Linked DNA regions of Rattus norvegicus. The protein of the gene in region 2 binds, or shares a complex with, the protein of the main gene of each other region. Links are inferred from orthologs where the notes say so. Each region holds a gene or a part of one and is shown on either strand. Other genes may lie near its edges.

Region 1 (7,690 bases), on a different chromosome or scaffold from region 2:
TGGACCCTGGTTGAGACCCAGGACCAGAGCACCAAGCTTGTCAATCATTGTCCCACAGAAGATTATTTCATGCCTCCACCAAAGCGTAGCTTATGCTACTGTGAGTCTTGCCGGAAGTTGCGAGGAGATGAGGCCCACAGGCGCCGAGGAGAGCCTCCCCGAGAATATGCCCTGCCTTTTGGATGGTGCAGGTTCAATCTTAGGTACATATGGGCCACAGACATGTATTTTCTTCTGTGCTATTTTCCTTGAGAAAGGAAGAGTCCCAAGAGGGAAAAGAGGATGGCACCCACTTTGTGGGATGATCTTGAGGAGCCAGTGACCTTTGACTTATCTGTCTTACCTGTCCTTTTAGGGTGAATCCCCATCTGGAAGCTGGCACACTTACTAAGAAGTGGCACATGGCCTATCATGGAAGCAGCGTAGCAGTTGTACGGAGAGTGCTGGACCGAGGGGAATTGGGAGCAGGTATCATGGAGTGGGCTGGGTTTAGGGATCCTAGGAGGAATCACGGGGCTGCCCTCACCCAGGTCTCTTCACAGGAACTACCTCCATCCTGAGCTGCCGACCCTTGAAGGGAGAGCCTGGGGTGGGCTTTGAGGAGCCTGGTGAGAACTGTGCACCTCCCCGGGAGGAGCAGCCCCCTGCAGTGCTGCTCTCCCCCTCCCTTCAGTACGCTGGGGCAGAGACCCTGGCCTCCAAAGTGCAGTGAGTACATGTGGGAGAGCTCTACGGGCTCAGGGTACTTAGGATTCTCACCACACCCTTTTCCCACCCTAGCTTGTTACCTGTCAAGTTAGCCTTGGAACCCAGAGATTCTAGTGCTGGGATTAAAGGCAGGTACCTGGGAATCAGATTCCATTACAGTTGGCTGTGAGCCACATGTGGTGCTGGGAATTGAACTCAGGCCCTCTTGAAGAACAGTCAGTGCTCTTAACCACTGAGCCATCTCTCTAGCTCCCTTTGTTTTTTTCTTAAAACAGGATGTCAAGTAATCCAAGCTGGCCTCAAACTCATGTTTGGTTTGTATCGAAGCTGGCTTTGAACACTTGACTCCTGTTTCCACGTCTGTGCTGAGTGTGGGATTAGATGAGTGTGCTGTATGCCTTCTTTCCTGAATGTCTATGGATACCAAGTCTTTCAGAGTGTCCTACACCAGTTGCTGGGTTTTACCCCATGCACTGCATAAACTGTTCTTGGATATTGTAACAAATTTCTAGAGTCCTAACACTAGGAGGCAGGGCCAGTGGATCAGAAGTTTAAGGTCATCCTCTCCTTATATAGGGAGATTGATTCCAGGGAGTATAGAGACCCTGTACTGTCTCACAAAAGTGGTGAAGTAGACAAGAAGTGCACTTGGAGTGTTTGGGACAGGCCTGAAATAGAGTGTCAGGGTAAATAAATGCATGAAGAGGGCTATGGAGGGGTTAACTGAGGACTTGGGAGGAGAGTACTACACACAAAATAGTTGTTGTTAAGCCATTCACAGTGAGAGTATTTCCCAGAAAACAGCAAGGCCTGGGTGGAGGGAGCAGAATTAGTAGTCATCGGCCCTTAGAAGCCTCCTCTTGTTTCTGCTTGTCTAACAGATTCCGGGACCCAAAATCCCAGCGGACACACCAGGCTCAGGTGGCCTTTCAGGTGTGTGTGCGCCCTGGCTCCTATACTCCTGGCCCTCCCTCTGCGGCCCTCAGAGAACTTCCTGACCAGCACTTCAGCCCATCAGAACTTGAGTGGGTCACTAAGGAGAAGGGAGCCACACTCCTCTATGCCCTGCTGGTACGGGTGGAATAAGGGGTGAGATACCACTACTCCAAGCACAGCCGGGCCTCAAGCCCAGGACTCTTGAATGACGACTGCCTCCACCTCATTCCAGTGACTTATGGCATGTACAGGTGCTTTCCTGGCCGGAGGAGCACGTAGACAGGCTTTGATTTAGACCAGGTGTGAAGCACATCTCTACATTCAGGGCCCAGCACACTCCCTCTGCCGAGAGGGAGCTTGTAGGGAGCCCAGCTCCAGTCTCTGGGTCCCCCCTTCATGCACTGACTTGGGGAACATGACTCCCTATTATTACCCTCCCCCATATCACTTAATTTATTTCCGTTTTTGTTTCTGGTTACTGTGAATCCCAAAGGAGTCTCTGTGCCCACATGAAGCTGCTTTTTCCATGGCCACCGGGCGCCATGAGGCGGGAGTGGGTAAGGAAGGGGCGGCCCGAGGAAGCTGTGGGCCCTCTGTACAGTTGTTACTGACTCTGATTTCTAAGGAGCCAATAAATACTGTCTTCAGAGCATCTGCTTCTGCCTTTGTCTCCTGCGGCCTTGCGAGGTGGAGAGTTCCAGGGGCTTTATCTTCCCAGGCCTCTCTGTAAACCCACATGGAATTTGGACATCCCGGCACCCGTCTCTAAGCACTTCCGCCTTTCCTTTCGTCCAATCCGCTGAGTCGTTTCCCGTCGTGACTCCGGAAGGATTTGTCCGACCGTCGGATATGACGTAGAGACCAAGGCGCGCCGGAGGCCACGGAGAAAGCGCCGAGAAGGCGGGTAGGGGGGTTGGCGCCAGGGCTACGAGGGAGGGGCGGGGGCGCGGAGTCTAAGACCCCCGCACGCGCGCCGGCGCTGAGGCTGAGACCCGGGAGGGACGCTGGTGCCCGGGACACGTGATCGAAGTGGCGAGCGGGCGGCCGACGGGCTTCCGCCTTGGCGGGTCGCAGTACCTCTGAGCTCCCACTTCCCTGCAGGCCCCGCCTGAGGTCTGGCAATCAGTGACAGAGTCGGGTGCCCACTGCCCAAGCGTCACCAACAGCATCATGCCCGCACTTCTGGAGCGCCCCAAGCTTTCCAACGCCATGGCCAGGGCTCTGCACCGGCACATCATGATGGAGCGGGAGCGCAAACGGCAGGGTGAGCCTGGGCCAGAGCGGGAGGACAGACACTCGGCCCAGGGTGGCTCTGCTATCTACGAACTTGCCCCCATCCACGGGCCCAGCTGTGCGCCTGCTGGCGAGGCTAAGAGGGAGGCAGCGCGCCTTCGGGGTGTGAGTGAAGAGGCCCAGTCTAAGTTCCAGAACCCTGGGCTGGGAAGGACCTTGGAGAGCACCTAATGAAGCCAAGTTCTCCCTGTGGCTGTGATGGAATAACTGGTTTTTGCTGGTCTTCAGTCTAACGCTCAGCTTATATTTACACCGCCTTGCCACTTCCCCGTTCTGATTCTTCAGAGGAGGAAGAGGTGGACAAGATGATGGAACAGAAGATGAAAGAAGAACAGGAGAGAAGAAAGAAAAAGGAAATGGAAGAGAGAATGTCACTAGAAGAGACCAAGGAACAAGTAAGTCGCCTCTCATCACTTCTATTTCTAGCTTCTTTCTTTTCCCTACTTTATCTGCTTATCCCTCTTCTAGATTCTGAAACTGCAGCAGAAGCTTTCAGCTCTACAGGAAGAGAAACACCAGCTTTTCTTGCAGCTCAAGAAAGTTTTGCATGAGGAAGAAAAACGGAGGCGAAAGGAACAGAGGTGTGAAGAGATGGCTAAAATAAAATTGTGCAATAGCACACAGGTGACAAGAGTCTAATAGCAGGAGGGACACTTAACTGACCTGTCTTCCTTTCACTCCAGTGACTTAACCACTCTGACATCAGCTGCATACCAGCAGAGCCTGACGGTTCATACAGGAACTCACCTCCTCAGCATGCAGGGTGAGGACTAAATAAACTGCCTAACAGAGGGGGCTCTCCTGGAGGTCGCAGCCTTATTTTGGCATCTTGAAACCTCTCCCTTTCTAGGGAGTCCTGGAGGACACAACCGCCCAGGTACTCTGATGGCAGCTGACAGAGCCAAGCAGATGTTTGGACCACAAGTGCTTACGGTGAGGGAGTCTTAGAATTTTTAACCCCTTCTCTTCAGGCTGGCTTTTAAGTCACTAGTCAAGAATTGTCTTGAAATCTGACCCTACCTCCATGTCTCCTCCTGTGTATTGGAATCACTGTTCATCTGTCACTAAGCCCATCTTACTTTCTCCCATTCTTCTGACATCCCAATCATTAAACCAAGCAGTACACAGGAGCTGAGCAGAAAGGCATGTACTTATTGTGTGAGTTCCTCATTTCCCCTTAGACCCGGCACTACGTGGGATCAGCAGCTGCTTTTGCAGGAACCCCAGAACATGGACAATTCCAAGGCAGTCCAGGGGGCGCTTATGGGACTGCCCAGCCCCCACCTCATTATGGGCCAACACAACCAGCCTATAGTCCTAGCCAGCAGCTGAGAGGTGAGTGTTGGTTCTCCTCAGACCAGAGGAACAGCTAGAACACAAAAATCTAATAATGGGTATCTCCTACCTTTCTTAGCTCCGTCAGCATTTCCTGCGGTGCAGTACCTATCTCAGCCACAGCCACAACCCTATGCAGTGCATGGCCACTTTCAGCCCACTCAGACAGGTGATAACCCCCTGGGCAGGAGCCCTAGCCTCATTGCAACTGCCATCTGCTCACTTCTAACTCTTCTCCCCTCAGGGTTCCTCCAGCCCGGTAGTGCCCTCTCTTTGCAAAAACAGATGGAGCATGCCAACCAGCAGACTAGCTTCTCTGACTCAGTGAGTATGAAGCCTTGGGAGGTCAAGACGCTAAGATGAGGGGGGCCCAGTATGCCTAAGGTCAGCTTCTTCCCACAGTCTTCTCTGCGGCCCATGCATCCCCAAGCTCTGCATCCAGCCCCTGGACTCCTGGCTTCCCCTCAGCTCCCTGTACAGATACAAGCAGCCGGGAAGGTAAGGCTGGTGATCAATCCTACATGTGAGACTGTAAACTCAAGTACTGTCTGTACTGAGTGTTGAGTCAGAGAAATACCCACCCACTGACAAAACTCTTATTACCCAGTCAGGCTTTGCCACCACCAGCCAACCGGGCCCTCGACTCCCTTTCATCCAACACAGCCAGAACCCACGATTCTATCACAAGTAACCACCAGATAACTCCAACCCACCCTCCATCCCTCAGGGTGGGTTCTTATGTGTCCCAAACGAATAAAATGTACAAAATCTACCTACCATCATGCCAGAGTACTGTTTATTTGCTTCCTAAACCACAAAAGGCTGTCTCTTATAAAGCATCTTTCAGTCAACAAAAACAACTGAGTTGGGGGCTTCATATTAAACTTGTAGTTTTATTCAGGTTTGATTTTTAACAAATGTGTCAGGGAGAAAGCCCACAGGAAAGGGTAAAGCCCATGGGGGCAAGGCCTTCCCAGATGCCTGAGGAGGGATCGTGTCCCCTCCCCCCCCTCTTCTTGTCACCCCTATAGAGGGGTTTGGGAAGAGACACAGGCAGGGAAGGGGGCTGGTCCCCAGTCTGTACAGTGGTGCTTGGGGGTGAAGGACTATGGAGAACAGGGGACCAGATGGGTTTGAGTGGGATAAAGGACACAAGACCATTTGCCAGAATCCACAGCTTTCTGATTCCAAATTGAATTAAAAAGAAAAAGGGAGAGGGGAACCTAAACCACAGGCAGTACCCACTCCCTTTCCCCCATCAGGGCTGCGAGAGAAGAGGCAGGTAGCTTCACCAAGGCCATGGCTCCCTCATGCCTGGCCAAGGGAGCTAGGTGAAGGGCAGGGTCTCCCCGACAGTTTGAAGGGGTGAGGAAAACCAAAATAAAACGTCAAATAAATTGGATAGGAGTCCAGCCAAGGGCCCAGCCAGAGCTGGGGGAGGGGCCTCTGTAGGCTCATGGATCACTGCTGCCACCACCGCCACCCTGGGCAAGAGAAAAAAAATCATGTTTAAAATAGGACTGTAACTTCAACAAAGTTGTGAGGGCGTGAGTGTGAGGACAGTAAAAGGCTGTTCACTCACCTGGAAGCCAGTTATTTTGCCATGGCCTTGATTGCAACAGCTGCCTCCTCTGTCATGGCGGACAGCACTGTGATCTGGAAAAGCAAAAGGACAGTCCAGAGATGCCCTTAACTCGGGGACTTTATGCTTAAGAACCAAAGAAAGGCAAGGAAGGGGCACCATACCAGGATCTCTTCTCCACAGTCATACTTCTGCTCAATCTCCTTGCCAAGGTCTCCCTCAGGCAGACGAAGGTCCTCTCGTACCTCCCCACTGTCCTGGAGCAGGGATAGGTACCCATCCTGGATGCCAATCAGCTGCGAGAACGAAAAAAAAAAAGGAAGGAAAAGGTAGGTTAAGTTTAGAGGTTGGATGGACCTACTACAGTGACAGCAGCTTCCTTCCCTACACATCCTTTCCCACAAGGTGCAGGCCAACACACCCTACCCTTCATAAGCCACTAACCATCTTCATCCTAAAAACACACCTGGAAATCATTCCTTTTGATGTTGGGGACATCCATGTTATGAGTCGACGGGCAGATATCTTCATATTTCTTCCCAGTAAAAATATCAATACCAACCAGATGGACCTGTGTACATACATCATAAAGAGATACCCAGCAATCAATCTTTGAAGCATGAGACAAATGTTTGGGTCACTGCCTGAGAATCTAGAATGCCACGTTACGGTAAAGACTATTAAGGATTAGAAATGAACCAAGTGAAAACGGCATAACTAAAGCCTTAAAAGTCCTGACCCTGGAGACCAATACCTGAGGGTTAACAACTGAAGGAAAGGTCAGTCTTAGGGAACTCAATTTACATGGAAATTACCAAAAGTCAACTGGTAAGGACTGAGAATATTGCTCAGTTGATACCAATGCTGGTCCAGCATGCACAGGGCACTGGGTCTGATGCCTACCAACACATAAACCAATCATGACACATGCCTGTAATCCCAGCACTGGAAAGGCAGAGGTGGAAGGAAGTTTGATTCTGAGGGTATCCTGGAGTACACAAGGGGAGGTATCTAGGGAAAAGTTTCTTAGATGTTTATATAATGGGCTAAGTAAGACAAATGGAAGAGGCTGAAAAAATGAAGCAAAGGAATGTTAAGAGAGATCTGAAGACAATGACCCAGGAGAAGAGCATTATAAACTGTGCAGGAGAGCAAGCCTTATGATAGCCTAGTTGTATTTAATGCCAAGTCAACAAAGGATAGGGAATAAACCACTAGTCAGGTTTAACTTCTACGACAGGAAGTCTAAGTGAAGAGAATGCCAAGTCTTAAATAAGCCAAAGAAAGGAGGAGTTGGTGGGCAATCAGCAGCAGGTAGAGGACATGATACATCACAATCCCAAATGGAAGACAGAACTTAGAGAAGCAGCAGCAGTGCTTTGAGAATTCAGACTAGAGCAACCCCAGAATGCTGCCTTGGGGATCTTGACTGGAGAAACTCTGGACAAGGAGCCCAAGGAATAAAAAGGTCAAGAAGAAACTGAATATACAAACCCAAAGGAATCTAGCACAAAGAGGGAGTAAAGAAAGAATGACAGGTGTCCTACGGAAGAAATTGGGAACACTTAATTTTGAATGGGAGCAAAAAGCTGTCTGCTGAACAAAAATGGACTACAACAGCAAAGGGGCCGAGACTAAACCAACAGCTCACTGCCCAAAGCCCCATGGGGTGGGAACTGCAGGAAGCGATTCCAACCTTGGCATGGCCATGCTTGCCAGTCTTCGAAGTAGACATCTCGACGATCTTACATGGCCGGCCCTTGAGCACCACAAAACCATTCTTACGTAATGCTGAGCACTGCATTGGGAAGGTGGCTGAGGCCCCTGCATCTCCTG
Region 2 (7,775 bases):
CTTAACTATATACAGCTCTGGTTAACCTGGAATTTGTTGTGTCGACCAGGCTGGTCTTGAACTCACAGAAATCCACCTGTCTCTGCCCCACAGGTGCTGAACGAAGGTCTGTGCCACCACAACACATGTTGGTATTTATTGTAGCTGGGTCTTTTTTAAAGTTGATAAAGAGGAATAGTTGTCCAGCAAGACCTCAGTATTTTTATTTCAAAGGCACTACTTTGTCAGAGGTTTGGTAATCAGGTGAAACCCGATTCTCGTCGGCTGGTAGTTGGTTTTAGTATTGTGGTAATCTTTGGTTTGGTAGGATTGTGTTACTGTGTGGATTCTGCCTGGATCTTATATAACATAGGGACTGTATTGACTCCATGGAAACATTAGATTTCTATTCTGCTTTTGGTTGCAGTTGCTATCACTTAGAGCTGTGTCACTTGTACTTACCCATTAGTAATGTAGACTGCTGACGCAGGGGCTGGCTTCCCAGTTATTGTGTTCCTCATTTTCAGCCCCAGCTGGAGTAACTTGAATACATGCTAAAGACTGTGGCACTGACAAGATGTATGTCAGCCTTCCTAAGGCCGTGCCCTCTCTCAGTGGTAACTGGAGACTGGACAGGGTCTGTTGGAATTGGCAGCAGACTTTACTCTAGCATGTTCCCAGCTCCAGGAAGTGCTGGCTTGATTCCTGTCCCTCCTATTTATCTGTGGATGGTTTTGTGAGATCACGTGATCCAGTTGGTTTGCACATCTGGTAGTGGAAGTAAAGGATAGCTTTGTTCACGGATTGGCTGTGAGGGCTGAAATGAGGATGCTTGTAAAGGAGTCAGTGTGGGGCTGGCAAGGAGGAGGTCTCTGTGCTGGCTGCTGCCTCATGCCCTAACATTAAAAGAGATGTTTTTAAAATATGATGTGTCTGTGCTGAGTGTGGGTTTGTGCATGTGAGTACAGTGTCCTCTGAGGCTGGGGAAGGGTGTCTTAGCTGTAGTCACACATGGTTGTGAGATGCCTGATGTGGGTGCTGAAGGCTAAACTCTGGTTCTCAGCAAACTGTCTCCACCCCCTGCTGGCCTTTGTATGGGAAGTAGCAGTATAGCCAAGAAGATTGGGCAGTGTAGAGTTTTTCTGTGTTTAAAATATGTAGGTATTTTTGGTGTTGATCCCCCCCCCCCCCCAGGTAGGTTTTCTGGTAGCCCAGTTTGGCAAATTGTTATGTAGTAGATACCTTGATATGCCTTGCCAAGTGCGAAGCTTATAGGAATCTGAAACCATGTTTGTCCCAGACACCCTGCTTTATGTTGTGTTTGCTAACACTGATGCTTCAAGAGGAAAGTTGCTAACGTAGTAGATAAGTTGCACATTTTCTCCACACCTGGGTCAGTCATTTCCCATGTATATGTAAATGCCATGAAAAACTATGATGTCATTGATTTTCATTCAACACTGGGCGAAAGAAACAATGCTGTTTGTTTTCGCAGAAGTAACTGAAATAAAGCACACGGGTTGTTGGTGCGGGGGAGCTGGGCTACAGTCATTTTCTGTACTTCTCCTGTTTGTTTGTCCCCCTCCCCCAGGTTTGGTTATATTTTCCCCCTGTATCTCCACCTCTTACCTTACTTCCCAACTTCATGTTTATTTGCTCGTGCTCCCCCCTCCCTCTTTCTCTCTCTCTCAAGTCACCTTTTTTTTTCTTACCCTAATTAGTCCAATTTCTGCTGCTCCTATACACATTGGTGTGGGGTCAGCCAGTGGAGCATTGCTGATCTACCCTTAGATAAAACTGGCTCTCCCTCTCCCAGAAGCCATCAACTGTCATTATCAGCTTTTAGGGGTGGGGGCTAATTAGCCCTTCTATACTGGAATATTGACTGGTTTTGATAATTATGCAAGTCTTACACAGGCAACCACAGCAGCGGAGAATTTGTGAGGGCATCAGTCCTTTCGTGTTTAGAGACACTGTTTAGTATAGTCCTGCTGAACCTCTGGTTCTCGCAGTCTTTCCCTACCCACTCATTCTTGATGCTCCCTGAACTTTGGGGACCCATAGATGGCTGAATACTCCACAGATCTGTATTCTGACCATTCGTGTATTAACTATCCTCCACTGCGCAAAGATGCTGTCTCCTAAGGTCTGAGTGCTGCACTAATGTGTGGGTACGGATATTTATCTAGAGCTAGTTTGATATTATATTCATTTAGCAATGTAATAGTATTTTCACCCCTGGTTTAGAAGCCATGGGTTCTTGGCCAACCTTAGAGTACCAGATAGAAGTTTCTTCCTGTGGAACTGGCCCTAGAACCAATTAAAGGAAAACAAGAAAAGAAAAAAGCCCCTGGCTACCCTTGTAACATAATGTGCCACTACTGTACCTCTAGGGACATCCTAACCCCGCTAGTTATTACTACAGCTCATGGGGTTCACAGTGAGACTGTTGAAGATGTTTCTTCTCCAGCAGCCTGGGTAACAACTGGCGGTACTATGACAGTGAGCAAGCAGGCAGAAGGCTTCCAGTCACCAGCTTCATTTCTCCATGGCCTATGACCATTCTTTTTAAACCTATAAATTGATTATAATATTTAATACTATTATTAATTCAGTGAAGTTGGGAACTGTGGATTTGAGATAATATAGAATATACTTTTCAATGTTTATGAGTTTAGAATCAGTATTCAGGATAGGAAGAAAGAAAGTTGACATTCTGAACTCAGACAAATCAATTATGATCATATTTATTGTTCCATGCCCATGACATTCTTCCGTAGCCCAGGCTAGTCCTGAGCTCATCTTCTTACCTCAGCTTCCTGAGTGTTGGCATCATAGGTGGGTCAGTGTGCCTGGCTTTTTCCTTAAGTCTTGTGTTGGGGTCCGTGAGCTGTCACTTTTTTCTAGACTAGATGTCTGCAGACACGTCCTTGATGCAGTTGTCTGTTTGTGACCAGGTAGGGCCTTCCTGAGGACACTTGTCTTACCAGTGTTTCACCAGGAGCTCCTGGTGAAGTACAAACTGCACTCTGTTCGTACTGAATTGGTGAGGCTTTCCAAATGATGTGTGCGGTTTCTGGTCCTTCCAGACCCTTGTCTCTTTGAAGGCCGTATAAGCCCAGAAAAGAGGGTGGCCTAGCAGTTCAACTCATTGTGTTCAAAGTATAAGATTATCCGAATCTGCTCGGGTGTCTGGTTTTGTAGGTTGGGCCACCTCTAGAATCTTTTTTGGGAGGTGAGGGGTTAGGATAAGCTGTTAAAACAAGAAATATTCCCACAACTGAGGTAAGGAAGACTTGGACCTGAGGTTAGTAGTTATAGCTGATTGAGTCATTGACTGGTCTGCCATGTTGGTTCCCTGTTCTTTGTAATCTGGTTCCCTGCTAAACCATTTCTCTTTGGTTCTGGTCTTTTTGTGAGCTCTTGGAGCACCATATACCTTAGGTGGCCCACCCTTTCACTGTGGTGTACACGTAGGGCTTTGAGGCTGTGCAGTGCACAAATTATTAATTCTGTTTCCTGCTAGCCCTTGAGTCACTTGCTGTGTCATGTAAGGAACTTTACTTTCTTCTCTGGTCTGTGTCGAATGTTGATTGATGGCAGAGTTCCTTCATTCATGATTATGAGTTGCAACAAAACAGATAGAAGAGAAAAGAGGATCAGAGTTGGGAGAAATAGAAGTAGCTCCCACAGTTGTGAGCTGGCCACATCCTTAGCTACTGATACAAACTTCCTAGATAATCCGAAACTTGGGCTCCTGGAGATGTGGGAGTAGAGGAATGTGTGGGGTGAGGAGCTAAGTGAGCTGTCAGGATCTGGCGTTTTCAAATCATACGTCAGAAGGGAACATCTTGATTATTTCTTCAGAACCAGATCTGCATTTGAGGAAACAGGGCTTCCAGTCTACGAATGAACTAAAGTGATTGCCACAATACTTCATTGATATTTTCAAAGAATTAGAAATTCACCAGTAAATTTTAAATTAGGAAGGATATTGCAATGAGAAGTCTGTGCTGACACTTTGCCCTGGTGGAAGTCAGGAGGGGTTAGTTCCTTTGGGCTCTTCCTTTTGTACCCTTTAGGTGGGTAATTGACCCCTTGTAGCTGTGCTCTGCTTGCTTGTGGATGTGCTTTTGCACTTGGCAGTTCTCAGTCTCTTTCCTTTTTGGGTCAGCTCTTGTGCAGAGCAGGCTGTGGTGCTTCATGACTCCTTTGTCTTTCTTGGGTTCCTTTGTCAGATGACGAGTGTACTGTTATCTTTAAGCAAACATTATGATGTTGGCCAGTGAGGTAAGTTTGCTTACCTCCAAGACTCATCGTAGTCTGAGTTGAGTCTGTAGGACTCACATGTTGAATGAGAGAAACAACTTCTCGAAGTTGTCCTCTGACCTGCCCTTGTGCATGGTGGGCAGCACTCCGTGCCCACATGCCCATATGACATCACACTTACGTGTACATGCTGTAACTTAATGGCTGTGGTGTGAAGCTGCCTGAGGGTTGAGTTGTCATGTGGTAGTAGGATGGACGCTGCTGAGTTCAGGAATAAAGGAAAGCTTAGACTCATTTACTTTACTCACTTCCTTTCCTTGCAAAATACTGCATATTTGTTATGGGTTTAAGTAGAGTGGAAATTTGAGGACAAGCTCAAAAGAATGGTTCAGGGTGTGGAAAACAGGGAAATTCTGTGGCGTTAAGGAGACAGCTGCTCTGGCTTCTGCACCCTCCCTCTCCTCGTTCTTATTTTGCCTGAGGAGGAACAGTAGAGCAACTCAGGAGGTTACTAAATTCTTCCTTTTCAGGGGTACACCCTCCCCCCTTTTCATTTTTGGGAGAGAGCCCCATACTATAGTCCTGCTGGCCTGGAAAATGATACGTAGACTAGTTTGGCCTTAAATTTGTAGTTAAGTCCCTGTCTTAGCATCGGCCTCCCTGGTGCTAGGGTGACTCTAAGGGATCCAGGCTTTTTGTCTTACTGCAATTCTGATATTCTGTTCAAGTCTTGTCCAGCAGTCAAACAGTGGTTTTATTTTTCTACCTGAAATTAAACATTTTTCTCCTGAGAAATTAGCCACTAAAATTTTTACTAGTGTTTTAATTTGGATTGTTAATTTTGGTAATGTTTGTTTTAAAGTTGTGTAAGGGTCCATGATTCGGCAAAGAATGATACCCTGAACTCTCAATAGTATGTAAATGCAGAGTGTTTTTTTTTTTTTTTTTTTTTCTACAGAAGTCCAGCATGCTGGGCTCTCCCATTACCAGAATAGAGCTTTTATGCCTGATTTAAAGCACATTAGGGCATTCCGGGTTTGGTGACCCTTATGTTAATCTGTTGGGTCCCATCTCTAAGGACATTCTCTTGGGGACTGTGGGGGCTGTAAACTTGCTGGGGGAAGTCTGGAAATGCTGCTGACCCATTGTCCTTGCCTCAGGCCAGGTGGTAGGGCAGCTTCTGAGGCCTGGGGTTGCCTGGAATTGCCCAGTTCTTGGATACAAATTTAGGCCTAGCCGCCTGAACTGCCAGTTTGAAGCCTGTCATGGAATCAGCCTAGTCTCCTTAGTTGTATGGGTTTTGAGTGCCCCATTTTTCTGTTTTAAATTCCTGTTGTCTTCAGCATTTGATTTTACGTAAATTGAAATTTTCCACCAGTCGGAGTTTGAGAATATGTAGCAGAAACACCTTCATGTGCTGCTGTGTGGCACTGTGGAGATGTTTGTTGACATTTGTTGCCTTCCTTTTCTATTTCCTCAAACTGGCCACAGTCTGTAATCTCAATAAGGCAGAGTCAGGAGGAGGATTGCAACCAGGAGCTAACCTGGTCTACTTAGTTAGTCCCGGATAGCCAGGACTACATGGTGAGATTTGGTCCCCAAAATTGAACCAACAAACAAAAAGGCTGAGTATGGTGGTCCGGTGGTCTGCACCTGTAATGCTAACACTTTGAAGGTGGAAGCAGGAGGATCAGAACTTCAAGGCTAGCTTTGGCTACAGAGCAAGCCTGGGCTATGTAAGACTATGGCACACAAAAGAACACTAAGACCACCATCACCACCACTACCACCAAAAATGTAATGAGAATAAAACACAGTGAATAAAAGCAAAGTGGGGACAGTTATTCTTTAGTATGCGAGGACTGACCTTTCCTGACTGCACATCTCAAACTTCACAGTGATTCCCCTCTGCACTGCTGAACAACCCTGGCAGCTCCGTACCCAGGGATGCTTTTGCTCCTGCCATAGCTGCTTTGTTCTTTGTATCAGGCTCTGCCCTGAGATAGGCATGCACACTGAAGTAGTGCTCGTCCCATGTGACGCTTAGGTTTCTTGTTACTATTACCATTTTACCATTTTTATGAAAAACATGGTGTGAGTGTTTTCTTCTACTGACACCTCCTCCTCCTATCTGCGTATTTAACCTGGATGAGAGCAGGCATGGGTTCTGATTCTCTTGTCACTCTCCCAGTATCTGGAATAGACTTGCAGGTGTTTAGTATTTTTAAGCCCATTAACTCTTTTTGACCCACTGATAACTTAGAGTGGATTTACTTTTATTATGGATATGTATCTTTAAGAAGCCGGGATTTACGGTGTGCTAGAGGAGATGAGATTACTTTGGTGTTTACATAATGTTTGTAGCTAGTTCTTAGCAGCTATATCAATCTGAAAAAAATAGTTGAAGAACTGATACTAAAATAGTTGTGCTAAGATACTAGATTTCAACAAGTTACGCTTCGTTTCTTTCAATCCAGATATGTCATCATTCAGTAATAGGAGGTGAGCTAAACCTCCCAGTTACATTGATGGAGGTTACTTCTAGCTACATTTACCTGGGAGGTGGTGGTGTTTAACTCTGATCTACTTCTAAAGTTGGCACTGAGTCATAATGCAGGCAAGTTGTGCTATGAAAGCCCAAAGCAAGTTCTCAAAAGGGTTGATTCAGGAAGGGACCTCATTGACGTAGGGAATACAGCAATCTTACTGAATTGCTCCCTTTGGGAAGTGCAGCACGCTCGCTTGACTGACTGTACAGCCAGAACCAGACCTGAGTACCAGGAATGTCTTGACACAATAGTCTAGCTAGTTTTGCTGCGTCATAATAGCCTTTCCTTTATTGACTTTGAAGTGTAATGACAGTATCTGAATTTAAGGACTACTTTACTTTACCTGAGAATTCCCTGAAGGACTCTGAGCAGTGTAGCTTGAGAGGGATCCCATAGTGTATTAGAATTTGTTGCTCCCAAGTGCTGGGGGAGGTAAGCTTGGGCACAGACAGAGGTAGCCATTTATAGCTGGAAGGCTGGGCCTTTAGTCCACTCTGGATGTACTTAAGATTGCCATTTACTCAGAAGTGACATTTATCTCTTCGGCTCTGTCACCCAGCTTTTTCAAATGAACCTGTTTTTAAATGAAGACTGAGGGTTCTCTTTTGATAACATCTGTGATTTTCTTCAGTTCATCTAGGGAGTGGGATGCTGATGGAGTCTGTCCTCAGAAGAAGCGCCACAGTAGGGAAGTGTTGGCACTTAAGACCATCACTTGGGGGAGGGCAGCAAGTTCTTTATACAAATATCGGGAACATTGTAGTTTCTGAGGAAGAAGATCTAATTAAGATTTATTCTAAGACTTTCCAGTCCACGGAGGGAGAGGCAGGCGGATCTCTCTATGAGTTTGAGGCCAGCCTGGTCTATAGAGAGAGTTCCAAGACAACCAGGGCTACACAGAGAAGCCCTGTCTTGGAAATGTAAAAGACCTTTTCTGTTTATTTTATGGTATGTGCATGTATTTATTTTTATGTGTGC
Region 3 (7,779 bases), on a different chromosome or scaffold from region 2:
AAGGCTCTCTCTTGGCTGCCGCCAGCTCAATCTGTGTTTCCTATGGGCCTGTGGCAGGCATCTGTGCCAGACCAGAAGGATGGGGGAGGGGGGGAGGCAGCGGACGGACCTGAGAACTGGGCTGGGTTCTGTGTGCATTTGCTGGCTGCAGGATACCCCTGCCTGTACTAGGATGCACGATGCCATGGAGGGATCCCAGAATCCGCCCTAGGCTGTGCTGATAGACAAGCCGAGAGCTTCCCTAACCCAGCATCTCCCCGAAGCCCTCAGGGCACAGGTGGAAGCTGGTTCAGCCTCCATCTTTGAACTCTTCCTGACCAGTGGGGCTTGTTCCTTAGCATCGAACATATGTGCGTCTGTGTGTCCATACTTTTGTGGGGTGCCAAGGGTCAGACCCTCAAGCGGCTCGTGCATAGAGGCCCCTTTCCAGTCTGAATATTCTTCTCAGATTTAAATGCTCAGAGCTGGACACAAACCTTTCCTGAGCTAAGCCAGGTGACTGGCCTATAGCCCAAATGCTGCGGTCTCAACTAAGGTTTGTTAGATGAGCGCTGGGTGTGCGTCAGTTTTCCCTTCGAGGTGATTTATGTGTGAATCTCAGGCCAGCCCTACGAAAGTGTTGGATCTGTTTCTGAGTGGCTCAGCCTCTCATTCCAGCCCAGTCCCTAACTAGCTGCGTGATGCCAGGCGGGAGAGCCTTACCCTCTCGGTGTCTTGATTTCCTCATCTGTAAAGTGAGGAGATCTCATTACCATGGCTGCTGTAGGGCCGTGTGTATACCTGGAACACCCCCAACACGTGACACAAGGGTAAGCGGTTCTTATCGCAGGGTGTTGTCAGCTCTGATGTTACCAATGGGGGAAGGAGACGTGTGTGTAAGCTGCTAGGAGGTGGGAGAACAGTGCCATTAGATAGCACGGTGGTGACATCCTGTGATCACTCCATTCAGAGACAGGTGTGGCCACTGAGCACTGGAAGGTGTGGCTGCTGTGTCTGCCCAGTTGAGTTTGGGTTTTATTTAATGTGGTGAGTTTTCACGCTAGTGTAGAAGTTGTACGGTTTGAGATCCAATGGTCCTCAACCTTCCTGGTGCTGCGACTTCATGCTGCAGTGAACCCCTAACCATTAATTACTCTTGTCGCTATTTCATAGCTGTAATTTTGCTGTTATGAACTGTAACGTACCTATCTGTTTTGATAGTCTTAGGTGACCCCTGTGGAAAGGCGTTTGGGCTCCCCAAATGGGTCACGACTCACGGGTTGAGAATACTTTTCTAAAGGCTTCTGTTGGGCAGAGCCCTTAGAGTCTGGATGAAAATCTTGCAGTCTGCCACCCACCTCCTACTGGGTTACTTGATTATAATTTGTGGGGATGCTGGGGGTTGAGCCTGGAGCCTTTATTTCTTTTATTATTATTATTATTATTATTATTATTATTATTATTATTATTTTATTTTTGAGACAGAGTCTCAAATACCCCAGGCTGGCCTCCAACTATGGATTTAGCCAAGGTTGCCCTTGAACTCCCAATCCTCCTGCCTTTACCTGCTGAACACTGGGAATATTGTTGTAGCACACACCAGGTTTTATGTGGTGCCGAGGATGGGACCCGGAGCTTTGCACGTGCTAAGCAAGCCACTTCTCCAGTCCCCTGTCCTGTTTCAGAGTCAGCCCCCGGTGCTGTGTTATTTAAGTGGTGACTCTTTTGCATACGTCTCTGAGATCAGGCTGACAGCCACGGTGTTGCCATCGCCCCTGAAGACAGCTAGTGACATCACTTAATACTGTCAATCCAGTTGTTCAGCTGCTTCAGACTGGGTTTCTGTGGCAGGATGCTGTGGATCAGGATTTTGGTTTGCCACTCCATGTGGCACGCCACCCGTGGAGCCTCTTCCAGTCTGGACCGGTTCCGTTGGCCTTATCACCTGTTGAAAAAACAGGGCAGTTTTTTTCACATTTTTGTTTTGCTCTATTGGGGGTCTCACTCTGTAGCCCAGGCTAGCCTCGACTCACAGCAATCCCCCTGCTTTAGCCTCCTGAGTGCTGGAATTACAGGTGTTTGCCACCAAGCCAGGTGGACTCTGTCCTCTTTGTCATTGGGTTTGAGGGATTCTGTTTGTTCTGTCAATCCCTTTCCAAGTCCTCGTCCTAGATCTCTCTCCATCGTCCCTGTTGCCCTTACCCGACCGATAGTGTCCTGATACATGAGTGTTTTACATGTCCTTTAAGCCCCCTGAGTCCAGTTTGACTTTTCTCTTGTTGACTGCTTTTGGTCACCACCAAATCTAGTACCTTGAGTTTGGTCTTTTGTTTTTCAAAGCATTTTATAGTTTCGGTCCTTCAGTGTAGCTCTTTGAGTCATTTTGAGTTGCTTGAAATTTCAACCCACAGGATTTCCTGTGTTCTGGAGATTGCCAACTGCCTCCTGGTGAACACTTTCACCCGGCTTGGTGTGACAGTGTACAGAGAAGCCCTGTCTTGCTTGGCACTGGGTTCGGGTTTTGTCAAGGTCTCTTTGTAAGGAACGGGACACAAAATGGTTGCTTTTTTAGCTCTTGTGCTGCTAAGATTGACCCGTGTTTTCAGGGCTCCATTATATCTTTAAGCCTCAGACTTGATTACAGAGCATGAGCCCGTGGGGAAGACTAATTAAGATACAACAGGTTCTGCCCTGCATTCTGGGGTGCCAGATTCTGTCTGGGTAGGGTGGGGCAGGGCCCAAGAACATAGGGTTTTGGCAAGCTCTCTGGTGATGTCACTCTTTGGAGACTACCATGAGCTGCTGTGTCCCCAGTCCCTGTAAGTCTCTCTTATCTTTATACTAAATACACACAGGAATCTCCTGGGGACCTGAGGGTGCGCTGGATTTGTTTCCTTGTTTTGTTTTGTTTACTTTTTCGGAGGGAAGGCAATTCTGTGGCTCAGGCAGGTCTTGAACTTGTGTACCTGTCACCTCAGCCTTTCAAGTGCTAGAATTAGAGAGGCTTGAACCGTTATGTCCAGCCAGTGGTAGAATTCAGTCGATCCCAGTGTTCTGAGTCTCCAGCCATGCCGACCCTATTATCAGCCCTCGGGTTCACCATTCCACGTCTCCTCTCAGACTTGGCACTTCCAGAAAATGGACGACCTCAGAGAACAGTAACATGAGAGTAGTGACCCAGACATTCATTCCTTGCCCTCCAGCCCTGGGTACTAAGTAAGCCCTGAGCCAGCCCTTGGGTAGGGACTGGTGATTGAATGAAATCATAGTCACCTCTTTACAGACCTTCTGGAACTTTGTGCTTTAGAATGTTCTAGTCTCTGGTTTAGGATGCTGGACTCGCTCGTTTCCATAGCTTTCTCTTTCACAGACGAGTCGTCAAAATCAGAACTCTCAGGGCCTTACCCATAGCCTGTGGTAGAGCGACGAACTTGTCCCTGTGTGTCTGGAATGTCCTCAGGTTTGGGGTTTTAGGTTTGCTTTCATTTTTCTTGCAGTCCTAGACATTACACCTAGGGACTTGCGCATGATAGGTAAGTATCCTGCCACTAAGCTGTCCTCCCAAACCCTTCTTGTCATTCTGTTTGTTTCCTGAGAGGGGACTCTTACTGTGTAGTCCAGGCTAGCCTCAAATTGTGGCAGTCGTACCTGAGCCTCCCCAGTGTTGGAATCCAGATGTCAGGCTACCACACCCAACCTTTTTCTCGTGTTTTTATTTTGAGGCAGATGCTTACTACATTTTTCAGGCTGGTCTTGAACCTGAAATCCTTCTACCTTGGTTCCATAGCTATAGCACAAGAACTCCTCCTTGTCCATGGTCCCTGGCAGACTGGTAGAGGAGAAACCAGGCCTCTTGTTCCTTTGAGATAGGGGGGCAGAAACTGATGTCCTAATTGCCTGAGTCCCTGTGACACTTGAGCTCATTGCTGGCCTAGAGAAGACAGAATTTGAAATGTCTTGTGCCAAGAAGTTGTGGTTTCAGTTAGGGCTTGGCCTCAGATTGAGAGACTCTGTATTGAGAAAACGACGTTTACCAGGAGCCAGGACCTGTGGTTTCTTCCTTCTTCCTTGTAAGAAGGAAAGACACCATGAGAAAGAACTTGGGGGAGGGGGGCTGAGGAAGGGGGAAGCAGAGGAATTAGTACATAGCCTTGACCTGGGGGGAGGGGTCGACTTCTAAGGCTTTCTGATTGGCTCCACAGGCTAGCTGTCCCACCCCATCCGGTATGGATTGGGCCTTCACTAGGGATTCTGGGTGTATTAAAAAAGAGACTTGGCAAGATGGCTTAGCAGGTAAAATAGCTTCCCTTGCAAGCTTGGTGGCCTGGGTTCAATGCCTGGAACCCTTGTGAAAAGCCAGATGCCGCAGCTCGCACACCCATGATGCCAAGACTTCTACAGTGAGATGGGAAGCAGAGGCAGGAGAGTCAGCTGGAAGCTTGAGAGCCACTGTGGCCTGCAGATGGCCACTATGGCATCATGGTAGATTAACACCTACCTCAACAAGCTGGAAAGAGAGAATCAATTACCAAAAGTTGTCCTCTGATCCCACTGGGGAGATTTCTCATCAGGGTTGGAGCATACATGGTCAGGGCCATGATGCACTCTGTGTGGGTAAGAGCAAAGGATTTTTGGCTCCATGTGGGGTGCACCTCTAATCAGGTTTTATTGCACTAATTCTTGGTCTTTGAAGATCACATTCAAATAAAGTGGTGTGATTTGGTTTGGTTCGGTTCGGTTCGGTTTGGTTTGGTTCTGTGTGACAGGTTCTTGCTGAGTAGCCCAGGCTAGTCTTTGAATTTGCTGTGTACCTCAGGCTGGCCTTTGAATTCACTGTGTAGCTGGAGCTGACTTTAAACTCTTGGCCCTCACGCTAGGATTATGAGCAGCTGTCCCACACCTATCTTGCCCTTCTAATCTCCCTCTATCAACCAGGCTATGTTAGAAGGTGGTGCTTCAGACCCTCCCACAAAGCACTTACAGGGAGCGGCCTCTGTGCCCACAAGGTCAGATTTTAAGAGGAAGAAACAAAAGAAAAACTTGAGCTAGCAGATGTGGAATGGCAACAGCAAACTCCGGCCCAGCCCACCTCTGCTCAAACCAAATCAGGTAATGTCCTACTCACCGTGAAGCCACCCTCAGTGGCACCAGGGAACACGCCCCTCCCAACTTGGGTTCCACATCAGCTACTTGCTGGGCTGGGTGAAGAAGAGGGCCATGGAGAGCAGGCAGGAAAATCTGTTGCTTACCCCACAACAGTACCCTTACACACACACACACACACACACACACACACGCACGCACGCACGCACGCACGCACGCACGTGCACATGCACACTCGCCCCACAGGAAGAAGGTAGCTAAGCTTTGAATTCTCAATTTGCTGCTCATGTCAGTACCATTTCTATCACGTAGCTTCCCCTGCACCTCCATTTCCCATCCTCAGATATGGTTAGTACGCCCCCACCTCAGGAGGGTTGTAGGGGATGAGACAGTCTCCAGCCAGTCCACAGCCAGACTTAAGAGAAATGACTCCCAGGAGTTTAAGCCTAGAGCCAACTAAAGCCTTCTCAGGGTGGCGGTTCCCAGCCCCCAGCCTAATGCCATGGCATAAAGCCACAGGACTACAGACAGATGGACGGACGAAGTGGGAAGGCTGCTGTGGAGGGGTGTAGGCCCTGCCTGCAGGGCAGACAAAAGCTTGCTGGCAGGGGAAGTGAAACCATTGCTCCGAGTTGCTGAGTCACCAAAGCCTTGTGCAAACGGGTCCCTGAGCAGAAGGCACCAGACACACCTGGGGCAACGCCAGCACCCCAGAGCTCTGTGATGGATGAATGCCAGGCTCATGGCACACATGGTCACACCATACAGACACTCTCATGCCCTGACCTTACTAGATGCCATCCTCCCTCACTTCTGTGACCTCTCCCCCATTTCAAAGGTCTGGACAAACCTTGGCAATAGAAATAAAGCCTGGGGTGGGGCAGATGGGTATTGACGGTCTCGGTCACATTGCTCTGGACTGGGTGGTTTCATTCGTGGGGGCCAACAGCTCCCTTTCCAGAGGGGAGACACAAGTCTATGAGGCAGACTTGTGTTGTCCCATTTTACAGACAAGAACACAGAGACTCCGAGGGTTAAGTCATCAGAGTTAAGTCACAGTGAGACAAAGTTAGAACTGGAGGCCAGACTGGCTAGCCTTAGAGAACAACACTGGTTCTCACTTGGTTGGCAGGAGAGCTTGGTTGGGCAGGAAAGTTGGGGTGGGGGCTGTAGCAAATATTCTGTGGTCCCTCTGTTTTGGGGGTTCATATTTGAAAAAACAGAAAGGCTCTAATGGATCAGGAAATGAATGAATAGTAATGACCAATAGTCTCTATAACCACTGTGATAGCCTCTCTCCCCTCAGGGTGGACCTTTGTAGAATTGGCCACTAACACCAGGCTTGGTTGCACAGCTTCTAATCCTAGCACTCAAGAGGTTAAGGCAAAACAATCATGAGTTCAAGGCCATCCTAGGCTATACAGTGAGTTCCAGGCTAGCCTGGTCTAAGATCTTGCCTCAAAAAGAATCAGCAGTGAAACCAGACCACTGCCCAGGCTGTGCCTGTTAAGTACTCTCTACTGTGCTCCATGATGAGGTGGTGGGCCTTATACTATCGGTCCCTTCATCCCCTGCAGATGTCATGGCACCCCCAGTACCGCAGCTCCAAGTTCCGACACGTCTACGGCAAGCCTGCCAGCAAGGAGAATTGCTACGACTCTGTGCCCATCACACGCAGCGTCCACGACAACCACTTCTGTGCTGTGAACCCCCACTTCATCGCTGTGGTCACTGAATGTGCCGGTGGGGGCGCCTTCCTTGTCATCCCCTTGCACCAGGTAAGGACCCAGCCTCTAGAGGTCTACAGGACAGATGGACAAGGTGGGAAGCCCAGGTCCCCAGTGCAGATATGACTGAAGATCTAGACTGGCCTGCTTTCCTAGTTGTGTGAGCTTGCATCAGCCAGTTCTTAGACCCTTGGTCTCCTTCTTGGGCTCTCAGCAGCTGGCCCACTTAGAGGACCGTCTCTTATCCACGCAAGAATAGTGCTCGCTCCAATTTTTTCTCTCTTGAATGAAATATGCTTGTTAGAACAATTAGCTGGGCTCAACTGAAATTGGGGAGACTGCGGAAGCCACCTCCCCTTGTCAGGAGGTGAGAGTGGGAGGCTCGAAAGCAGTAGGCAGAAAGGAGAATGCTTATCCCTAGAGCCAGCAGTGAGAGCATGCTTGCCCCAGGAACTATCGCCATTGCCCAGTGTTTGGATCCATGGAGTGACATCTTCATATAGATCTACCCTAAAGGGGATCTTTGTGGGATCCAAGAGCTGAGCTTGCCTTCAGCAGAACTCATGAAGAGGCCTGGGAGAGAGGTGATCCCAGGCTGTGTTTCTACTCATGTCACGAGAGGTGTTCGGGGAGCCTGGCCACAGGAAAGGAGCCCACAGACTTAGATAAGGACCCTGGGAAGTCACAAAGACTGGCGATCCAGAGTCTGAGGAAAGGCAAGAAGCAGCCCTGGAGCACTGACGGACCTGTGTGGTCAAAGCCTGGAGGGAGATGAGCTCAGAGACAGCTCCCTCATCACAGTACCTCAGGTATAGAAGCCAGTAACAGCAGACCAGCTAACTGAGGCCCCGTGTGCCCACTGGTGTGGACCGTTTGCTTGCTTGTTTGCTTGTGACAGCATCTCCTGTAGTCCAGCTCTGGAACTTCCCATGTAGCCAAGCTGGCCTTGACCTCATCCTCCTAAGTTCAC
Region 4 (7,194 bases), on a different chromosome or scaffold from region 2:
AACTAGCAAGAATTAAAATCCCAGAAAGGTACAAAAAATACCAATTGGTTTATTAGATCAAAAACAGTAAAATGGACATAAAGCCGGTTGGAGCTTTACACCCTCTCCTCCTTGCACCTGTACCTCCTCAGCAGTTAAGGTTTCAGAGAGCCATGCCTTCCTCCCCTCAGGTTCACCTTGCATGGAAGCAAGAACTGCAGTAGAGAACCCAGAAGGAAGTCAGAGGGGACCTTAGTACCGTCCAGACTTTCATCTCTAACAGTCTCTGTGCTGGAAGGACAGAGGAACAAATAAGGGGAAGAGGGGCTGGGGTCAGCTGCTAGGGCTCATTACCCATAATGTTCCAGAGACCTGTCCATCGGGTATATGAGAGTTTGAGGAAAGGGGGTAGTTGACTCTAGAACCAGATGTGGTTTCCAAACCCGTTACCAGAGTTAGTAAACACCCTGGGGATACCCAGTTCAGACCTGGGAGAGCAATACTTTCCTTCCCACCACAGAGGTGACAAGGAACTCTTGGGGACACGGCATCCATGCTGCTCTTAAATCTCCACATCACTTTCCTTGTCATTGTCATGGTCTCCATCATAGAATTCATTGGGTGCTTCTGGCCTGTAAAACAAGGGACAAGAGATTAGGAACCCACTCTTCAAGTTCCAGACTCCTCCTAACTCCCTCCTCAGAGCCAATTGTTCATGTGAGTCTTCTCCAAAGCCACTTACTTCCTGCTTGCTGGCAGGGACTTACTGCAATCTATGTATTCAATAAATGGAGACTCCCATGTGCCAGGCACTTCTGTAGGCCTTACCAAAACAGCAAAGAATCAGCCAGACTAGATTTCCATACAACCTCTCAAAGCTTATCTCATGAGACTAGCAATAACAAAACAAACGAAAGAATACAATAATTTCAAATGGTGGAGTGTTCTACATGAGTAGCCTGAGTCTGGTGTGAACAAGAAGATAACACTGGGCCTACAAAATAGGAGACCATTCTGAGAATGAAAGGCCTGAAGTCTATGAAGAGGCTGGTCAGACAAAGATCCTACCAAGCCACAAGAAAACCAAGTACAGAAGTCACGAGTGCCAAGGAAACTGAGCCATTCCTAACAACAAGGATGCCAGTAATTCTGCAGTTCATGTGAGCAGACCAATGTTTCAAAAGGTAAGGATCTGTGTGCAGGGCATGTTCAAATGGCTACTTCTAATTACGAGGAGAAGGAAAGGTGTGAGCTGAGACTGATGCAAAGAAAGTGTCTCAGGGTTTACTGCTGTGAACAGACACCATGACCAAGACAACTCTTATAAGGACAGCATTTAACTGGGGCTGGCTTACAGGTTCAGAAGTTCAATCCATTATCATCAAGTCAGGAACATTGCAGCATCCCGGCAGGCATGGTGCAGGAGGAGCTGAGAGTTCTACATCTTCATCTGATGGCTGCTTGCAGAATACTGGCTTCCAGGAAGCTTGGATGAGGGTCTTAAAGCCCATGCCCACAGTGACACACCTCCTCTAACAAGGCTACACCTTCTAATAGTGCCACTCCCTGGGCCAAGCACATGCAAACCAACACAGAAAGGAAGGCAGTAAGACTGACAGAGGAGCAGTACGAGGGTAGGACTGACATGAAGGGATGCACAAGTGGAAGACTGACATTCCATTAAAACTACCATGAGGGGGGAAGTGATAGCAACACAGGGCTCAGAAAGTACTCGATACTGGTTTCCTTCTCTTTGAAAAACTTCTCTAAAACAGACAATTAGGAAGTCACTGAAGAGAAGCAAGGAACTAAGGCAGGCAGGAAGGCCATCTCTATCACCTCTAAGAGCCCAGAGTGAAAAGTGAGGAGTCAGTCACTCAGGGTAACTACGGAGCTCTAGAAAAGTTACTTGATCTCTCTGAGCCATGGGTCCCTCCTCTAGTCCTCTGAGGATAAGACCCATCTCTTAGGGTTATGCAGAAAGTAGAGCCAAAGTAACTATAGATGAAAAAGCCAAACCCAGACAAAAGGAGAACTTAAAAACAGATGTCGCCGAACCAACCTAGACAATGGTGATCAGCTTCTAGAACTCAGGCTTTAGAGAGCTGTAGACAGATGCTAAGGAATGGATGACTAGACAGAGCCTGAACCAGATGTTTAGATACTTCCTCACCCAAGCCAGGGAATGGGGAGGCATCCAGGGAAGAGGAGGACTAGAAAGTCCCAAGGGTCAAGACCAAGTCCAGAGGACAGAAATGGAGGCCAAAATTCTGTGACCCAGAACAGACTCAGGAGGAACTGAGATGTCACCACAGCTGCAGCACAGCCAGCTTCAAGCCCATGACAGAAGCACAGCAACTCAGATGGTCTCAGTCCTGCAAATGCATCTGGTCCCTACTAACCCCATCTCTTCCATCGTTCTGGGTTCGGTTGTCTGTTGTCCTTTCTCATCATTTTCTAGAAATTTCTTTGAGGATTAACAAACAACAAAAAGATCTATACTAATCTTGCCTTATTTCATTCTAACTATAAATATTTCAACATAGATCTATGAAGATAAAGATTATTTATACATATACATGCACACACACACCTCACTCAATACAACTCATAAATCTAGAAAAATGAACTAAACAAATGTAGAAACCCTATAAAAGAGAATGTGGGCAGTGGTCTACTGTTCACTGCTCAGAATGGAGTAAAATGCTGGCAAACGTAAATAGGGAGCGAGAGAGACAGCTCAGCAGTTAGGAACACTTGTGGCCATAGAAAAGGACCCAGGTTCTTTCCAGCACCCACAGAGCAGCTTACAACCATCCTCCAGTTCCAGGAGATCTGACACCCTCTTCTGACCTTAGCAGGCACCAGGTACACAATGGTGTACTTAAATACATGCAAGTTAAACACCATACACATAAAATAAATCAATCTAAAAGTAAATAAAAGATTTTTCTTAAAAAGATGTAAATAAACCACTAAATTCTTTCTGGAAGGTAATTTGGCAACATTAGAAAAGTTTTACTGCATATGCCATTTTCCCTACAGCAACAGTTATGAATATATATACATATACATGTATATGTATATATATACACACACGCGTGCGTGCACACACACACACACATATATATGTGAATATATATATTTTATATATATATATATGTATATATATATATTCAGTGCCGCAGTCCTTATTGTTTTAATAGCCACAAAAAGGGGGGGGTGGGGGAGTGGGATGGAGAGTAACGTAAATATCCACAAGTGGTAACTGACTGCCCTTGTGATCATGTGGTCACCACACAATGGAATTATACAACTGAGAAACAATGATCTCTATACCGACATGGCACACACCCTTTCAAAGAAAAAAACAGGCAAACACAACTCAGAGCAACATATAGAAAATATCCTTACTCATAGTAACAAGAACTTTATAAACAAACTGGGTAGCATTTAGAAACCCGAGGCAGGAGGATTATTATGAGCTCAAGGCCAGCTTGGGCTATGATAGTGAAACCCAATCTCAAAAATACCAAGAAAGAGCAAGGCATGGTGGTGCATGTCTTTAATCCCGGCACTCATGAGGCAGAGGCAGGAGGATATCTGATTTATAGGCCAGCTTGGTCCACACAGAGGAAACCCTATCTCAAAACCCAAAAACAACAGCAACAAATCAAGAAAAATAAGTAACTGTAGAAATAAAATTCTGAATGTGCACACGTGCATATAGTGTTCTTATAATCTATAGAAATTACCTATCCAAAACCACATGAATCAAACCATAAATAACAGTTACTGCCATGGAGTAGTCCTGAAACTATGTAAATACAACACATTTTGATGTATCTAAAAGGGTCAAAAGAGAAAAAAGCTTGCAGCCTAAAGGAAATCAGCCAGGGCCAGGCGAACTCATGCCTTTTCTGCAAGCCTGAGGAACCACCCGCTCTCTGGCCCCAGACCTGCTGTAGTTCTCCTCAGGACCTCTCTCTTCAGCATCGGCCTCGTCAGTCCTGTCATAGGTCAGGAGATCTGCTGGAACATCATGAATCTGGACACTGGGTGCATGGTTCAGCATCTTCAAGTTTTCAAAGATGGTCTGGCGGATCTGGTCTAGATACTAGTTTAGAAGAAAAGAGTCAACAGTGCCAGGGTGATTGCCATAGTACATGAAATTCTATCCGCCTTCTACCATGACCATCCTGGTTTAAAGTAGTATTTCAAGGTCAGATCCTCAGTTAGTGACTGTCCCTTCCCAGCAACCCAACTGTTTGTCCTTTATCCAGGGCTACCACATGATAAGAGTGACAGTGACAGCCCAGAACTTCCTTCCCTTGCTCTCTCCATTTCCCACCTCCGAGACCTCTCCTGAGCCCGCCCAGCATTGCTGTGTCCAGCTTCCCCAAGATGCTAACCTGGCGTGAGTTCTGATTCTCGATGCGGGTGCTGACATCTGGATGGAGCGTGAAATCTGGGGCAAAGTACTCGAAGTATTCTTAGAGATGAGAAGCAATTGGGAGAGGGATGAACGAGAGTATGGCTGAGATACAAAAGACTGAATCCCATGGCTTTCCGATCACCTCTCTGAGTCCTGGTCCCCATGTGTAAGAGTATTTGCTCTGCTCTGAGCACAGGGGTTTAGTCTGCAGAGCTCCCAGAATGTGCAATTTCCCTTCAAACAAGGTCATTCTGAGGACTGGTGAGAATGGGCCCCCTGTGGGGGGCATCATGAAGTGGACCTTACCACTATAGGGAAGTTCCTCACTAATGGCCTCTTCTACCAGCAGAGATGTTTCATATGTCCTGAAACCAGCAAGCAGAGGGGTAGGGCTGAAAGGACCACCCCTCCAATTTCAGGGAGTTTATCATGAACTACAGAGGAGCAGAGTAGAATACTCACCAGCACCGGGCAACATTTCGAACGGTGTAACCACCACCTCCCAGCACCAGGAGAGGGATATTGAAACTCTTGACATATTCAACACATTCCCTGTTAGAAGCAACAAGAGGACTAGGTGAATCCAAGACACGTGACCACCGATATGCCTTGAAATACTGGAGGAAGACTTGACCAACAATATTTCTCTGTCCTGTTGTGTAGTATAACTCAAAGTTGCATTCTTTGGGTGTGACTACTTGTACAAATGTGTGAGTCTTCATATGTGTGCCAGTGCACGTGTGTCTGAGGATGTGTGCATGTGTATTCACATGCTAGAAGACATCTTCAAGTGTTGGCCTAAAGGCACTATCCATTTTTTTTTTTTTAACCTGGAACTTTCCAAGTAGGCTAAGCTGGCTGGCTACCAAACCCTATGAATCTTCTGGTCTCTACTTCACCAGGGCTGGGATTATGGATCATAAATGGGTACCGCCAGGCCTAGTGTTTTCACATGAGCTCTGGGATCAAACTTGAGTCTTCATGGTTGTATAGCAAGCGCTTTTACTGAGGGTGCTATTCACCCTGTCCCCATCTGATATCCTCCTGCCTCTGAGCTGTGCGCTCAGGATTAGAACTCCTTGGGTAGTATTGCTCAACATGTGGGCCAAAACCATGGGAAAGCACAGAGTCCCAGTGGTCTTAGGAGACACCACTCAATAGCAAGATGACAGTTATAAAATGGCAAGCAACAAAAATAAAGTTATAGCTGGAGGGTCCTATGTGTTTTCCCCTGGTTCAGACCCACAGGTTGAGAACCACTGCGTTAGGGCTAAAGCGCCATCTCAACATTAGTGTTTACTGCTTTCCTAGAGGCCAGAGTTTCAGTTCCCAGCACCTACACCGGGAAGCTCACTCCGATAGGTAAATTCCAATACCCTATTCTGCTACTGGGGACACACACACACACACACACACACACACACACACACACACACACAAATATTACCTTTTAAAAATACTAGCATACTTTACTATTTTGTGTCTCAATAAAAATTTTAAAATAAAGCACACCCCCACTCTGTCTTGCTTAATACTCCCTGTGCACCTTACCTGCTACCCACTACTCTCATCAGGGTCACAGCCAGAATGTCTAAGCTTCAGGGTACACCTTCAAACTCTCATACTTCTCTCTATCAACACGTGCCTGCCCAAATAACGTTAATGCTTCCTAGCTAGCTGCCCACTACCTGCCCTGACCCAATTCCCACACCAAACCTTTCTTCATTTAGCAGTCAGAACAGCAGCTTTCAAACTCACTGGACCCTGTCACTTCCCTGGGTAAGGTCCTTCACTGGTTTTCTATCACCCATGAGTGCCAGAGTCTGACGCTCTGCACACTCTCAGCCTGGCCAGCTTACAGCACCTGACTGTTCTGGCCTCACTGGTTTTATTGCCAAGACTCCTTTCAGTCTTAGGGCTTTACATTGGCTCTTCACACTGCTTGAGGCAGGATTCTCTGTTCTCCTTTTATGGTTCACTCCTTAGTCTCCAGGTCTCCCATTTCATCTTTTCAGAAAACCTTTCCCAAAACATGTCATCTACAGTACATTCCCAAACCAGGTATGGTGTGACCCGAGTTTATAGTCCCAGAATCTGGGAGCTTCAAGTAGGAGGGTCACAAGTTCGAAGCCAGCCTGTGCCACACGGTGAGACCTTAAAAAAACTGTATAATTAAAAAGTAGATTCCCGGGGTTGGGGATTTAGCTCAGTGGTAGAGCTCTTGCCTAGCAAGCGCAAGGCCCTGGGTTTGGTCCTCAGCTCCGAAAAAAAAGAAAAAAAAAAAAAAAAGTAGATTCCCTGCTGTTACCCTGTCTTATTTTTTTCATTAGATTTTTCATTGTATGTATGTGTATTTATGTATGATTTAATATATACACATATACATACAATAATTAATAATAATGATAACAAAAAATAAAATACAACTTTAAATAACAACAACAAGAAAGCCAACGCACCCATGTCCTCGAATGCTGAGATTGAAGCAGCCTAATCGATCACAGCCCAGGGAGTCAGCGCCACACTACAAAAAGAAAAAACACAAATGGCTACAATAACATGGATGATCAGAACATCAGTGTCCTCCAATGTCCTTCCTCACCAATTTTTGGAGCTTATTCGTCCTGATCTCTTCCCTGCAGCCCAGGCCCGCCCTCTTAGGGAGGCGCTAAGGTTGTTACCTGCAGCACGATGCACGTCGGCTGATAGAAGTCCACCACCTGGCTGATGACCGGCTGGAAAAGGTGCTTGTAACCTGGGAGAGGGCCAAAGGTGGGCAA

What was found.
Region 1: Tbl1xr1 (region 2) and Gps2 share a complex: the UniProt entries of both Homo sapiens proteins name them as parts of the N-Cor repressor complex. The link is inferred for Rattus norvegicus from reciprocal best matches to the Homo sapiens genes TBL1XR1 and GPS2.
Region 3: Tbl1xr1 (region 2) and Coro2a share a complex: the UniProt entries of both Homo sapiens proteins name them as parts of the N-Cor repressor complex. The link is inferred for Rattus norvegicus from reciprocal best matches to the Homo sapiens genes TBL1XR1 and CORO2A.
Region 4: Tbl1xr1 (region 2) and Hdac3 share a complex: the UniProt entries of both Homo sapiens proteins name them as parts of the N-Cor repressor complex. The link is inferred for Rattus norvegicus from reciprocal best matches to the Homo sapiens genes TBL1XR1 and HDAC3.

What each region holds. Positions count from the first base shown.
Region 1 is NC_086028.1:55,133,676-55,141,365, forward strand, and holds Gps2 (G protein pathway suppressor 2), read left to right. Parts: upstream 1-2,530; 5' UTR 2,531-2,814; coding exon 2,815-2,908; intron 2,909-3,222; coding exon 3,223-3,332; intron 3,333-3,405; coding exon 3,406-3,518; intron 3,519-3,620; coding exon 3,621-3,700; intron 3,701-3,787; coding exon 3,788-3,870; intron 3,871-4,118; coding exon 4,119-4,272; intron 4,273-4,351; coding exon 4,352-4,441; intron 4,442-4,516; coding exon 4,517-4,596; intron 4,597-4,674; coding exon 4,675-4,770; intron 4,771-4,879; coding exon 4,880-4,963; downstream 4,964-7,690. Other genes in the region: Neurl4 (neuralized-like protein 4), read left to right, coding at 59-203, 356-468, 543-708, 1,590-1,794; Eif5a (eukaryotic translation initiation factor 5A-1), read right to left, coding at 5,866-5,928, 6,019-6,150, 6,321-6,425, 7,551-7,690. UniProt on the Homo sapiens protein: Key regulator of inflammation, lipid metabolism and mitochondrion homeostasis that acts by inhibiting the activity of the ubiquitin-conjugating enzyme UBE2N/Ubc13, thereby inhibiting 'Lys-63'-linked ubiquitination.
Region 2 is NC_086020.1:106,727,735-106,735,509, forward strand, and holds the start of Tbl1xr1 (F-box-like/WD repeat-containing protein TBL1XR1), read left to right. Parts: upstream 1-2,930; 5' UTR 2,931-3,044; intron 3,045-7,775. UniProt on the Homo sapiens protein: F-box-like protein involved in the recruitment of the ubiquitin/19S proteasome complex to nuclear receptor-regulated transcription units. Plays an essential role in transcription activation mediated by nuclear receptors.
Region 3 is NC_086023.1:65,650,182-65,657,960, reverse strand, and holds the start of Coro2a (coronin-2A), read left to right. Parts: upstream 1-3,358; 5' UTR 3,359-3,512; intron 3,513-4,914; 5' UTR 4,915-5,031; coding exon 5,032-5,088; intron 5,089-6,659; coding exon 6,660-6,860; intron 6,861-7,779.
Region 4 is NC_086036.1:30,021,911-30,029,104, forward strand, and holds part of Hdac3 (histone deacetylase 3), read right to left. Parts: coding exon of another isoform or gene 7,170-7,194; coding exon 7,096-7,169; intron 6,939-7,095; coding exon 6,874-6,938; intron 4,967-6,873; coding exon 4,877-4,966; intron 4,780-4,876; coding exon 4,721-4,779; intron 4,472-4,720; coding exon 4,392-4,471; intron 4,097-4,391; coding exon 3,939-4,096; intron 612-3,938; coding exon 542-611; 3' UTR 1-541. UniProt on the Homo sapiens protein: Histone deacetylase that catalyzes the deacetylation of lysine residues on the N-terminal part of the core histones (H2A, H2B, H3 and H4), and some other non-histone substrates.